3 linked regions of the Notamacropus eugenii genome follow. The protein of the gene in region 2 interacts with the protein of the main gene of each other region in a biochemical or structural test. Links are inferred from orthologs where the notes say so. Each region holds a gene or a part of one and is shown on either strand. Other genes may lie near its edges.

Evidence for each region.
Region 1: the proteins of S100A6 (region 2) and CACYBP are reported together in a solved structure, tested with the Homo sapiens proteins (2 studies listed by BioGRID and IntAct, with this or other methods). The link is inferred for Notamacropus eugenii from reciprocal best matches to the Homo sapiens genes S100A6 and CACYBP.
Region 3: the proteins of S100A6 (region 2) and CEP43 form a complex in vitro, tested with the Homo sapiens proteins (2 studies listed by BioGRID and IntAct, with this or other methods). The link is inferred for Notamacropus eugenii from reciprocal best matches to the Homo sapiens genes S100A6 and CEP43.

What each region holds. Positions count from the first base shown.
Region 1 is NC_092873.1:471,566,833-471,570,581, forward strand, and holds the start of CACYBP (calcyclin-binding protein), read right to left. Parts: upstream 2,206-3,749; 5' UTR 2,191-2,205; coding exon 2,125-2,190; intron 1-2,124. UniProt on the Homo sapiens protein: May be involved in calcium-dependent ubiquitination and subsequent proteasomal degradation of target proteins. Probably serves as a molecular bridge in ubiquitin E3 complexes. Participates in the ubiquitin-mediated degradation of beta-catenin (CTNNB1).
Region 2 is NC_092873.1:377,509,368-377,513,116, forward strand, and holds S100A6 (protein S100-A6), read right to left. Parts: upstream 2,541-3,749; 5' UTR 2,374-2,540; intron 1,342-2,373; 5' UTR 1,318-1,341; coding exon 1,180-1,317; intron 588-1,179; coding exon 450-587; 3' UTR 329-449; downstream 1-328. UniProt on the Homo sapiens protein: May function as calcium sensor and modulator, contributing to cellular calcium signaling.
Region 3 is NC_092873.1:262,045,770-262,049,518, forward strand, and holds the start of CEP43 (centrosomal protein 43), read left to right. Parts: upstream 1-1,552; 5' UTR 1,553-1,639; intron 1,640-2,282; 5' UTR 2,283-3,144; coding exon 3,145-3,264; intron 3,265-3,749. UniProt on the Homo sapiens protein: Required for anchoring microtubules to the centrosomes. Required for ciliation.

The sequences.
Region 1 (3,749 bases), about 94 Mb from region 2:
TTACTATGCTGTAACTACGTACCAAAATTTTTGGTTGGAGATCTGACTTTTCTATACCTCAGGATTTTTCTATACTGAAAAATGTTGTTCCTGTGGTATCAGCAAATCTATGATGTCTTTGAGTGCACTTAATACAACGTGACACCAGTGCTACTCTTTGGAAGTCAATGATGTACTTTAATGGCTTCAACAGCAATGGCATCACTCATATGGTGTTGCTGCTCATAGAACAAACATTTCTTTAAGTACGTGAAGCAAAGCAGATTTAACTAACACCCCTACCATTCCAGTTCTCTTTCTACTAACTCAACTTTACTGGGATATTTCCTAAAACTCAATGCATTTAGCTCTGTTTGGGGGAGCAGATGCAGAGATGATTAAAAAATTCTTAATGTTTACTTTGTATTTTATGGAAACTCCCAGAGACGTGTCTATCTTTGCCCTCCCCTAACTCCTTTCTAGTCTAGCTGTACTACCAGGAGCCTGAGATTTAGAGGAAAAAAAATTGGGGGGAAAGGGAGGAAATGAGGGAAGAGGAAGAGAGAGGGGAAAGGCTACAAATGATTCTCCACCCACCAAAATCCCATTTTTGAATAATTAATGGATGACTATAAGGCATTTTAAAAAAAAGTAAATTAAAAAATAATATATGTTTCTGTTTTCTTTCACACATAATAGCCTAAGTATGAGTTATCTCAGTTTAAGAGTCTACCTTGATGGTAGAACAAGTATTTTAATGGAATTCCTGGCTTAAAAAAAAAAATGTGTCTAACAGCAAAAAGCACTCAATGATTTGTATGTGGACAGCTGCTAAAATAAAGACTGAGGCTCAAGCAGACAGAATGGTACTTGAATCATGACCACTTAAAAATGCCTTATTTAAAATATTTTTAAAAATACATAATCAAAGCACAGCAAAGAAATTTATACAATTGTTTTTTCTAACTTAGCTGCACAAATGCATTGGCATAATGGTATTCATATCTAGCTTGATATAAAACAGAAAAGGATATTTTAGTTCAAAGCTACCATTTCTATCACAATATTTTTATGGAAAATAAAATTGAGACTGTACTGAAACATTTACAATAAAAAAAATGAGTCTTTTATTCTCCTATAGTATTCAGCTAGAATGAACACAAAAATTTACCAATTTTCCTAAACAGACAAATATTTTGCCTTTTGAAGAGTATCTTAATAAAAATCAAAATTTTGACACTTTTTTTAAATGACTGATTTCTTATCAAAAGCCATCACAGCAAGGATGCTTGTAGAAGTCATTCACACAGTGCACAAAATTGTAGCTGTGGCCAGCATCTCAAAATTCCATGGTAGAGGAAGCATTATATAGTATGATATTGGAAGAATGTAATCGGTATATATCCTTTCCCAAATAGCAGCACTGTCAGGCCCTCCATATCTAGTTTTCATTCTTAAATAATCTTTTAAAGCCACTTCCCCCAGGCAACCTCCTATAATTCTGTCCCTAATGGTTTTCTAGCTCACAAATGTTATGTGAACACGTACATATCCTCTTATTGTACCCTCCTCTCCAATCTGAGATCTTCTCATACTTTATTAAAAAACCCAAACTAACAGAGCTATGCAACACAGACTCCCTTCTCCTCATCATACAACCCCCTGTTATCATCCCTTACAATTTCTTCCTGATGCAGATTCCCTTTCTCATCAAGGCCAACCCCTCTCCATCTTCTCTAGCACAGTACTTCCACTATCATCCCTACCTCTAAGACCTTCACTTTCTCCTCCCTCTTATAAGTTCCTTCTCTCCTGCTACAAACATATGCAAGTCTCCCCTATGCTGGGCAGAAACTCCCAATTAATCCTACCATGCCCAGTTAACTATTATCCTGTATTTCTCCCCCACTTTTTCTGTCAAAATCCTTGAAAATACCAACTATTTCCTGGCTCCATTTCCTTTCCTCTTACTTTCTTCTTGACTGCCCGCAAAATGGCTTCCAACCTCACTCAACTGCAATTGTTCTCTCCAAAGTGACTAATGATCTACTAATCACCACATCTATTGGCAAATAACCAAACGTAATGGCCTCTTTTCAATCCTCATCCTCCTTGGCCTCGCTGCAGCACTGGATCATTAACTACCTTCTTCTGAATGCCTTTTCCCTTCTTTGTTTCTGTGACACTTTTCTCTCCTGGTTCTCCTCTCATCTGACTGCTCCTTTTCCAGTCAAGTCAGTCAACGCGGTAACAAACGCTGTGGTTACAGAGAATGACAAAACATCACCTGCTCTCAAGGAACTCAGTTTAAAGGGAAAAACAACATGCAAACATTACATACAAACCACAAACATGCACACTCCCCAGGGTAACATGGAGATAATCAACAGAGCAGATAATCAACAGAAACCACCAGCATTAAAGGGGATCAAAAAATGCTTCTTGTAGAAGATGGAATTTGAGTTGGAACTTTAGGAAAGCCCAGCAGACATGAGGAGGGGGAGAATACCAGTATGAGAATGCTCAAAATTGGAAGATGGATTAACTTGTGGGATGAATACCAAGAAGGTCAGTGTCACCAGGCAGAATATGAAAGGCTTTGAAGGCCAAGTAGAGGAGGTGATCCTGGAAGTGACAGGGAGCCGCTGGAGTTTGCTGAAGGAGGGTCATGGTGGTAGGAGATGTAGACAATGTCAGACTCCTGCTTTTGGAAGGTTATTCTGACAGCTAGGTGAAGGACAGACTGGAGTGGGGAGGCCTGTGGCAAGGAGACTAAAGAAGAGGCTATTGCAATGTACAGGCAGGAGATGATAGGGGCCTGCATCAGGGTGAGGGCAAAGCCAAGAGGGAAGAAGGAATACACAAAAGATGTTATAAAGCTAACAGACTGAATATGCAGGGATCTAGGATGACACGTAGGTTATCAGTTTAGGTGACTGATAAGTAGTATTCTACACAGTAATAAGGAAGTTCAAGAAAGGGAAGTGTTTGGAGAAATGCAATGGGTTTAATTGAGTTTAATATGTTTATGGGACATCCAGTTCAAAATGCATAAGTCAGTCAACTGGTATTTATTAAGTACCTACTATATGCCAAGAACAGAGATAAGAGACGGGTACAAAAAGGGGCTCTCAGCCTAATGAGGGAGACAATATGTAAAAAACAAGATATACACAGAGTAAACTGAAGACACATGGCTGTGGTCAGCAGGGGGCTGGACAAGTTGATATGAGAATCAGCAGAGACGACAATTAAATCCATAGAAGCTAATGGGATCACCAAATAAAATAGTTTGGAGGAAGAAAAGAGAATCAGTCTCAAGTTATCAGATGAGGCCTGAATGAAGACTGAGGAGGAGATAAGTAGGAGAACTAGGAAAGTGTCACAAAACTAGAGAAAATAAAGCATCAAGAAGATTATCAACAGTGTAGGAAAAGAGGTCAAGAAAGATGAGGATTGAGACGAGGCTATTACATTTTGGAAAGACCAGTTTCAGTTGAATGAGGTCAGAAGTCAAAATTATAGCGTTAAGAGAATGAGAAAAAAGGAAAGGAGACACACTGATGGTGGAGAGTCTTCTCTAGGAGTCTGGCGGGAAAAGGGAAGAACAGATAGGCTATAATGGCAGGTGGGGATGTGTAAACCTAGTGAGAGCTTTTTAAGGCAGTAGGAAAGCAGTTAGTACACGGACAACAGAAAGATGGAGGGATAAAAAGAAGAGGGGCAGAACAGGGGAGAGGTGAAGAAAGAATGGGATAACTGCGCATGGA
Region 2 (3,749 bases):
CCCCTCCTACAAGGTTCAGCTACATTGCAATAGTGACCCACTCTGAGGAGCCCTTCTAACAGTACAGAAGCCAAGAAAAATGGGTAGAATTCAAAAGGAGCAGGGGAAGGGGTAAGTTAGATGGTACAATGGATAGAACACCAGCCCTGGAGTCAAGAGTTCAAATGTGACCTCAGACACTTACTGGCTATGTGACCCTGGGCAAGTCGCTTAACCCTATTGCCTCAAAACAAAAAACAAAAAAAAGGAAGGAATACAGAGTTAAAGGTAAAGAGACTAGAAAACAAACTGCAACCAAGTGAGGAATCAAGAATCATAGAGACCAAAACACAGTTCCAGACTTTATTTCATATACAAAACACCCACCATGTACCCATTGCTGTGGCAGGCCATCAAGGGGCTGCAGGGGGAGCACACCCCCCCCCCAAGTTTCCCTCTCCAAAGTCTATTTATTCTCCCTTCAGTAGTTCATTGTAGACCATGGCCAAGGCTCCCAGGAAGGAGATATACTCCTGGAAGTTCACTTCCTGATCTTGGTTCTGGTCCAGACCGTTCATCAGTTCTGCAATATCTGCATCTTCCATTTTCTAATATGGCAGAGTGGGAAATCCAAAATCTATTAAAGGGATCTCCTTTTCCCTTCCACTGTTAGCCTCCCTCCACTACTACCCCCAACTTAACCCCCACCCCCACCCTCACCCTCACAGCCTTCGAAACAGGAGACATTGCTCCCAGTTGTAGCATGGCTTTATTCTGCTCTCTCATCCGGGACATTCCCCATTCCATCCATTTCTTGTTTTTTTTTTTAAATCCCAGGCTCTTTCTTTTACTTTGTCCCTTATCCTACTACTTCTTAACTGAGAAAATAAAGAACAGGGATCTCAGATTTAGGTATATCTGGAATGACTGAGAGCACTGGGGATTCATTGTCCACCACTTTCAATTCTCCAGAACCTACTCTCCCATCCTCCATCTTCCTCCCTCCCCCTCCAGGAAACAAATGAGGACAAAGTGTAATCGCCACACACACACACTTCCACCTCCACCCAGCCCCACCCCACCCTAAATGGGTTCCTGAAGGAGAAAAGACCAGGTGGGGCAGAGGCAGGACTAGTCAATTATAAGGGAAAGGGGAGCAAAGAAAAGAAAAGTTCTGCCCTCCAGCTGGGAGATACTAACAGATCCTAGGCCGAGTTCATTCTGGATCAAATCCTTCAGCTCCTTCTTGCTCAGAGTGTTCTTATTACCCTCCCTGCTTGAATATTTGTGGAAGATGCCGATCAGGGCACAAATCGCTTCATTCAGCACGGAGGCCATAGCTGCCAGGTAGACGGGAGGGAGCTGAGAACCACAAAGGAAGAGATGAATAGGTGGGGGAGGGAGAAGGAACCAAAGAGTTGTTGTTCCTCAGGACCCAGGCCAAGGGGATGGGCCTTTTTCTTCCGGTCCCAGGACACAAACCTTTAAACCACAATTCTGGAGTTGAAAGTCATGAAGGTGAGAATTCAGTAGGGCTGGGCATAGTGGAGGTAGGTGAGATTTTCAGGAGCCTAAGTCAGATTGGGTGGACAGGGAGAAGAGTCTGGGCTCCTTCATCCTGGACTTAGTAAGTGGGAGTGTGGATTTGACCACAGGACCAGGTTCTAGGTGAGTCCAAGAGAAAGGAATCAGACCTGGGAAATTTCAAATTCACAGCCTACCCACACACACTTCTATCAATTTCCTGTACCCAGACAGAATCACACACTTTTAAGACTCCCAGATTATCAAAGCTCAAAGGGATTTTTCCCTTAGAGATTTCCTTTAAAGATCATTGGGTCTAATTCTGACATTTTACAGACTGAGAAACTGCAGTAACTCCTCCAAGGTCACACAATTAGTGGTAGAGTGAGGTCTCAAATCTAGATTTCCTGACTCCCAAGGGTCCTATTCCTTCCTCTACCATTACATTGCAATCATAATCACACCCACAGTAACACCGCAGCACACACTCCTCATCCAGCAAGACACACCCTTACACATAACTAGAAAGTTACACACGAGGATTTACCTGAAGAATGTCCTGACCCATCCAGTGAGTGTCAGGAGTAATTCTAGCCCATCCCAACACCTGGCACCCTATCCCCTGCTCCGACCGTGCCCTTGAAGCATCAATAGGCAGGGCAGCTATCCCCAAAGAGATGTGACCCCACAACCCGGGAGATCTCAGCAGCCACTGGAGTACAAAGGGACCGAACTAGGGAGGGATTGAAATCCAGTGACTACCCCAGAGGACGACGAGAGGACAGGATAGGGTACGTGCTGGGCAGGGAGAGACCAGGACATCAAGGGAGGAGGGCTGGGCAGAGTTCCGATGGGAGAGAAAGTACTCACCGAAGGCAGAAAAAAAGCGAAGACGAAAAGTGGGCGCCTAAGGATGAGATGGGTCACTGTCCAGCTACTCTTATAGTCTGAGCCCCAGGCCTTGGGGCTCCTATCCTCACCCCTCCTGACTGGCGGGCGGGCCTTCCGCGGCCCCACCTTCCTTCCCCAATCTCCGTCATCCTAGAGGAGGGGGGAGGCCCTCTCCACCGCACTCCACCCCAAGTCAGGCTTTCGGCTGCTCTTCGCTCCCGGCCTCTCCCTCCCACCGGAGCGCTTCGGCCGCATTCTAGCTCGCTCTGTGTCCTGGGGCAACAAAGCGGGCTGAGCCTGAGCGATCCAGGCCGAGCTGGGAGAGCCAGGCTCCACCGCAGCCTCTCCGAGCTCTGGGGCTCTGGTCAGGGCTCTCTGGTTTGCCACCTGTGAAATGGCGTTACTTCTTTCCCCATCCATCCTGGTGTTACTCTGGAGGTGCCGACCCTCCACCCCACTACGGGTGCAAGTGATGTGACCATTTGGGCACAAGTCTTTTATTTGTTACGGCCCCCACGTGTTGTATGTGCATGGATTTGGGTGTCCCTGGTGTGTGTCCCATGAAAAGTCAGTGCATGGCTGTATGTGTGTGGAGGAGAGAACAGAATGCCAGGTTTGACAACATACCTTCAGGTGGAAGATCCTCTTTAGGACCTCAGGGAAAGACCCGGGAGGGGGTGGCGGGGAGGGGGGGGGAGGGAGAAACTATCTCCTCTCCAAATATTTCAACATTACACCTCTGACTTAAAGACTTTCTTCCTTGCCTGATATTTCTAAGAGTAAGATGTTAAGCCTTAACTAGACATTTACTCATAGCTAAATATGTCACCACATTTCCTGAGAGCCAGGCTTTTCTTCTTCTTTTCTTTCTTTTTTTCTTTCTTTCCTTCTTTCTTTCTTTCTTCCTTTCTTTCTTTCTTTCTTTCTTCCTTGTAGGGGTGGAGTGGGGTGAAGAATAACAGTCATAGCAGCAACAACTAATTTCTACGGTGTTATAAAGTTTGCAGACTATTTTCTACATAATAAGCCCACTGAGGCAAAAAACTGAGTTCATAGAGGTTAAGCAAGTGTGGAAAGCGAGAGGGAAACAGCCCCAGAAGGACACTGGGCATCTTTGAAGAGGGTCCTAACTGGGGACGGTGGGGATAGGGGGTGTGACCTGAAGATAAACTCTGGCTTCAACAGCTTTGCCCAGAGCTAGATGTACTGTGTATGTGACATAATCGTAAGTATGATATCATGCCCATTATAATTATGGGAGATTTTCCCATGGCACATTTCATTTCAAGGAACTTTCTCCTCTGATTCCTCTTCACTTTCCTTTTTTCTCTGGGAGTCCATGATGCAGAGCTGTA
Region 3 (3,749 bases), about 120 Mb from region 2:
CAGACGGTGGGCACGGGTTAGGTAGCTGCCCTGTGCCAGGCGCTGGGAATACAAAGAAAGGGCGACGGCGGAGAAACAGGGCTAGAAAGTGGCGCCGGCCACCCCCCGATCACTGAGGTCTACAGGGTGCGCACAGCGTGCCAGGGGCTTCACACTTACTGTCTCCTCGGGCTTTTTTTGGACATTTATAACTATTTTCAATTCAACACGCGAGAAATAAGCGCCAAACGCAAGCTCCCGCAATGCGGCTTTGTGGGAGCTGCGCTGGATGGTCTGGGGAAGTCATAGGTCGTGGCTGAAGCAGGGCTGCGGTGATCTCCCGCGGTCAGTCACTGTCCCGCAGGGGGCGCTGCCACCGATGGGCACTGCCCCGGGCAGCGTCGTCCTTAGGTCCGGGACAGGAGGAAGTCCCCGTACGGGCGGAGGGCCATCACTTCCGGCCGGGCTCTCCGCTCTCGGCCGTTTTCTCCGTTTCCAAGTTCTCTTCGCTCCGGTCGCGCGGCGTTGTCCTGGCTCCGGAGCGGAGAGAACCCCAGGCTTCTGCTGGCAGACATTTGAACCCCCTGCTGTGCGCTCCCCAGTCCCGGCCCCACGGTCCCACCCTCTCCCCAACGCTCGGACTTCCAGGCCCCGGCGCGCCCTCGGGGAGCTAGGAAGGCAGTGTCTGCGGAGCCGGCCGGCTGGAGGCCCCGGCGCGCGCTCGGGACGCGGCCGCTCACCCCCCGACCGAGAGGCCTCCCGGCGCTGGAGCGAGACGTTCGCTCTCCTCACCCCCCAACCCCTCTTTGGGGCTCGGCCCGCGGCCAGCACGCGCTTTTGGGGGTGGGGGGGGCGGGGAGAGGCGGAGGGAACGATGAGCTGCCTCTCATTAGGGACGGGCGGCATTGTTATGCCCATTTTACAGACGAGGAAACAGAGGCAGACGGAGGTTAAGCGACTTGCCCAGGGTCACACCTCTAGTAATTGCCTGAGGCCCGCTCTGAACTCAGGTCTCCCCAAATACAGAGAAGCAGGAGGTCGCCTTAAAAGGGGAACGCACTGGCACGGGGATGGAGGGTGGGGGAGGGGGAGAGCTGGGCCGGCTACTGGAAAGACCATGTGGAGGAGGAGGGGCACCAAAGAAAGCTTAGGGGCTCTCATGGGTAGAGGTTGAAAGGGAAGCCATTCCAGGACTGGGGGACGGCTGGGACAAAGAAGTGGAGACTGGAGATGGCACTCCATGTGTGACAAACGGCAAGCCCTGCCCTGTGGGCGGACCGGACAGGGATGTCATCGTGTGTTCAAAACAAAGTGAAACCTGGAAAGGATCCCCAGACCCTTTCAGGAGATCCATCATGTCAACATTATTTTAATAACGATCTAAGACATTTCTTATTTCTACTACGATACTCTTAGAGATCTTGTTGTTCAGTCGAGTCTGACTCTTGGTGGCCCCATTTGGTTTTTTTCTTGGCAGAGATAATAAAGTGGCTGGCCATCTCCTTCTTTAGCTCATTTTTACAGATAAGGGAACTGAGGCAAACTGAAGTGACTTGACCAGGGTCAGACAACTGTCTGGGGCTGGATTTGAACTCACAAAGGGGAGTCTTCCACTTCCACTTCCACACCTGACTGCCCCCACCAATGAGAGAGAATCCAGGTAAACAAAATCTCTTCATAATTTACATAATTATAATTTATATAATCACATATTACATATATAATCTTATTGTATATGTAGTATATAGTGTATATTTACACATTATAAGTTTACATATATACATACCCATAATTTTACACACAATTTATATATAATATAAATATATAAAAATATGATTGTGTATTAAAATGTATTATATATAACCATATAGAAATCTTGCATAATTTATATATAATTTTGTTATATATGATTCATGATCTGAAATAATTTTGTATCTATAAATCATGCATTTTATATAATTACATAATTTATCGTCTATTGTACACAGCTAACTTACACAAATTATATCTAATATAGTAAATATCTAATATGGTATATATTGTATCTAATATAGTATGTTATAATTTGTACACATACTTAGGTATATTTTATATATTATACGTATCTTTGTTGTACTTAATTTATACCTAATTAAAATTATGTATCATAATGATTACAATTTAATAGTTTTTAATAGTACCAAGGGGTCCTGAGACCAAAAAATCTGAAACTATCTCGAAGATTCTTTATAGCTCTAAATCCTAAGATTGCTAAAATGAGAAGGTTGGACTAGATGGTTTATAAGTCCCCTCTAACTCTACAGACCTACAGTCCTATTATTCTAACGTTTGGGAGTTAACCGGCACTCGAGACCTCTGCAACTTGTGTTTTCGTGGGAGATTCCTAGCAAGCTATGTTTTATTCTTCCAAACCTTGCCTGAAAAATGAAGCTCACGAGACTTTAAGAAAACATTTTAAAGAAAAAAAAACCAGTGAAATAACAAATATTCCCTTACAAATACATGAACTAGAAAACAAAATTTTGATATAACTTCTCCAGAATTCATTTATCAAATGACCTAAAGTAGGTGACGTGGCATTTAAGGCACCTTGTTAATTACTAAATTAAAGTAAAAAACAAAACCAGGCGAAAAATGAAAGTGAACTTAGAATCTTCTAGGGGAGACGGGAAGAGATGGCATGAAACCGAACACCAGCGAAGTCGAACTGACGCATGCGCACCACAAGGAGCGGGGGAGCATGGGCAGGGAGCAGGCCCGGGGAGACTTCGAGGCTGCCCGCAGGTGTTCTTTCCCTCGTGCTAGCAGGTCCCGGGACCATTCAGCGCCTCCTGCCTTGCGCCTGCGCGATGCGCTGCGAGCGCTTCGCCGCCTCCTCCGGCCCCTCCCGCCACCTTCTTTAAACCTCCCGCCTCCCCTTACGGGGGGTGACGGGGTCGGTCTAATTCCGGTCCGCACATTCCGCACCGACCCCCAGCCTGGAGGTCCGCCCCGCCCCGCCCGGGTCACCGGGCGACGTGAGCGACAGCGAGAGAGGCGCGTCGCGGCATCTCGGGGGCGGGGCCGAGGGCCGTCCAGCGTCTTCCCCTCCCGCCTCCCCGTGTCGAATCTGCGGCGGCCGTTGGGCCGTTAGCGCAGTTTGGGCGGTTGTCTTGGAGAAACAAAATGGCTGCTGCGACGGCGGCCGCAGCGGCGGTGGTGGCGGCGGCGGCGGAGGAGGATACGGAGCTGAGAGACCTGCTGGTGCAGACGCTGGAGAACAGCGGGGTCCTCAATAGGATTAAGGTGAGGCGGCCGGGCCGGGGCTGGGCGAGGGCTGCCTCGCCGGGGCCTTGGCGCCCCAGTTCGCGCGGCCCCCGAGCTGGAGCTCCGCTCCTGGGATCCCTCGGAGCCTGGGGCCCTGTGGAGGAGACAGCCGCGGGCCGGGACCGCCGGCGGGGAGCCGTGTGTGGGGAGCGGGGCCGGGGGTCACCGGGCGCTGGGGGTCACCGGGGGCGGGGTCCTGAGCTCATAATGGAGGAGCTTCCACCGCCCCCTTGGTCCTTAGCCCTCGCTCCCTGCTGCAGACCCTCCCCCCGCCGCCCCCTTCCTCTTTCCGGAGAAGCTGGGGCCGGGGTCACCCTTGGGTAGAAGGCCGCCGTCGGCCCGGCTCCCTGCTCGCCCCACGGGGTTCTGCAGGTGACTCCGCTCTCGGGGAGGAGCGGGGTTGTGGGGGGCAGATCCGGTGAGCTATTAAGGGACCACGCCTCCGCTTAAAGAACTTTGCCCAC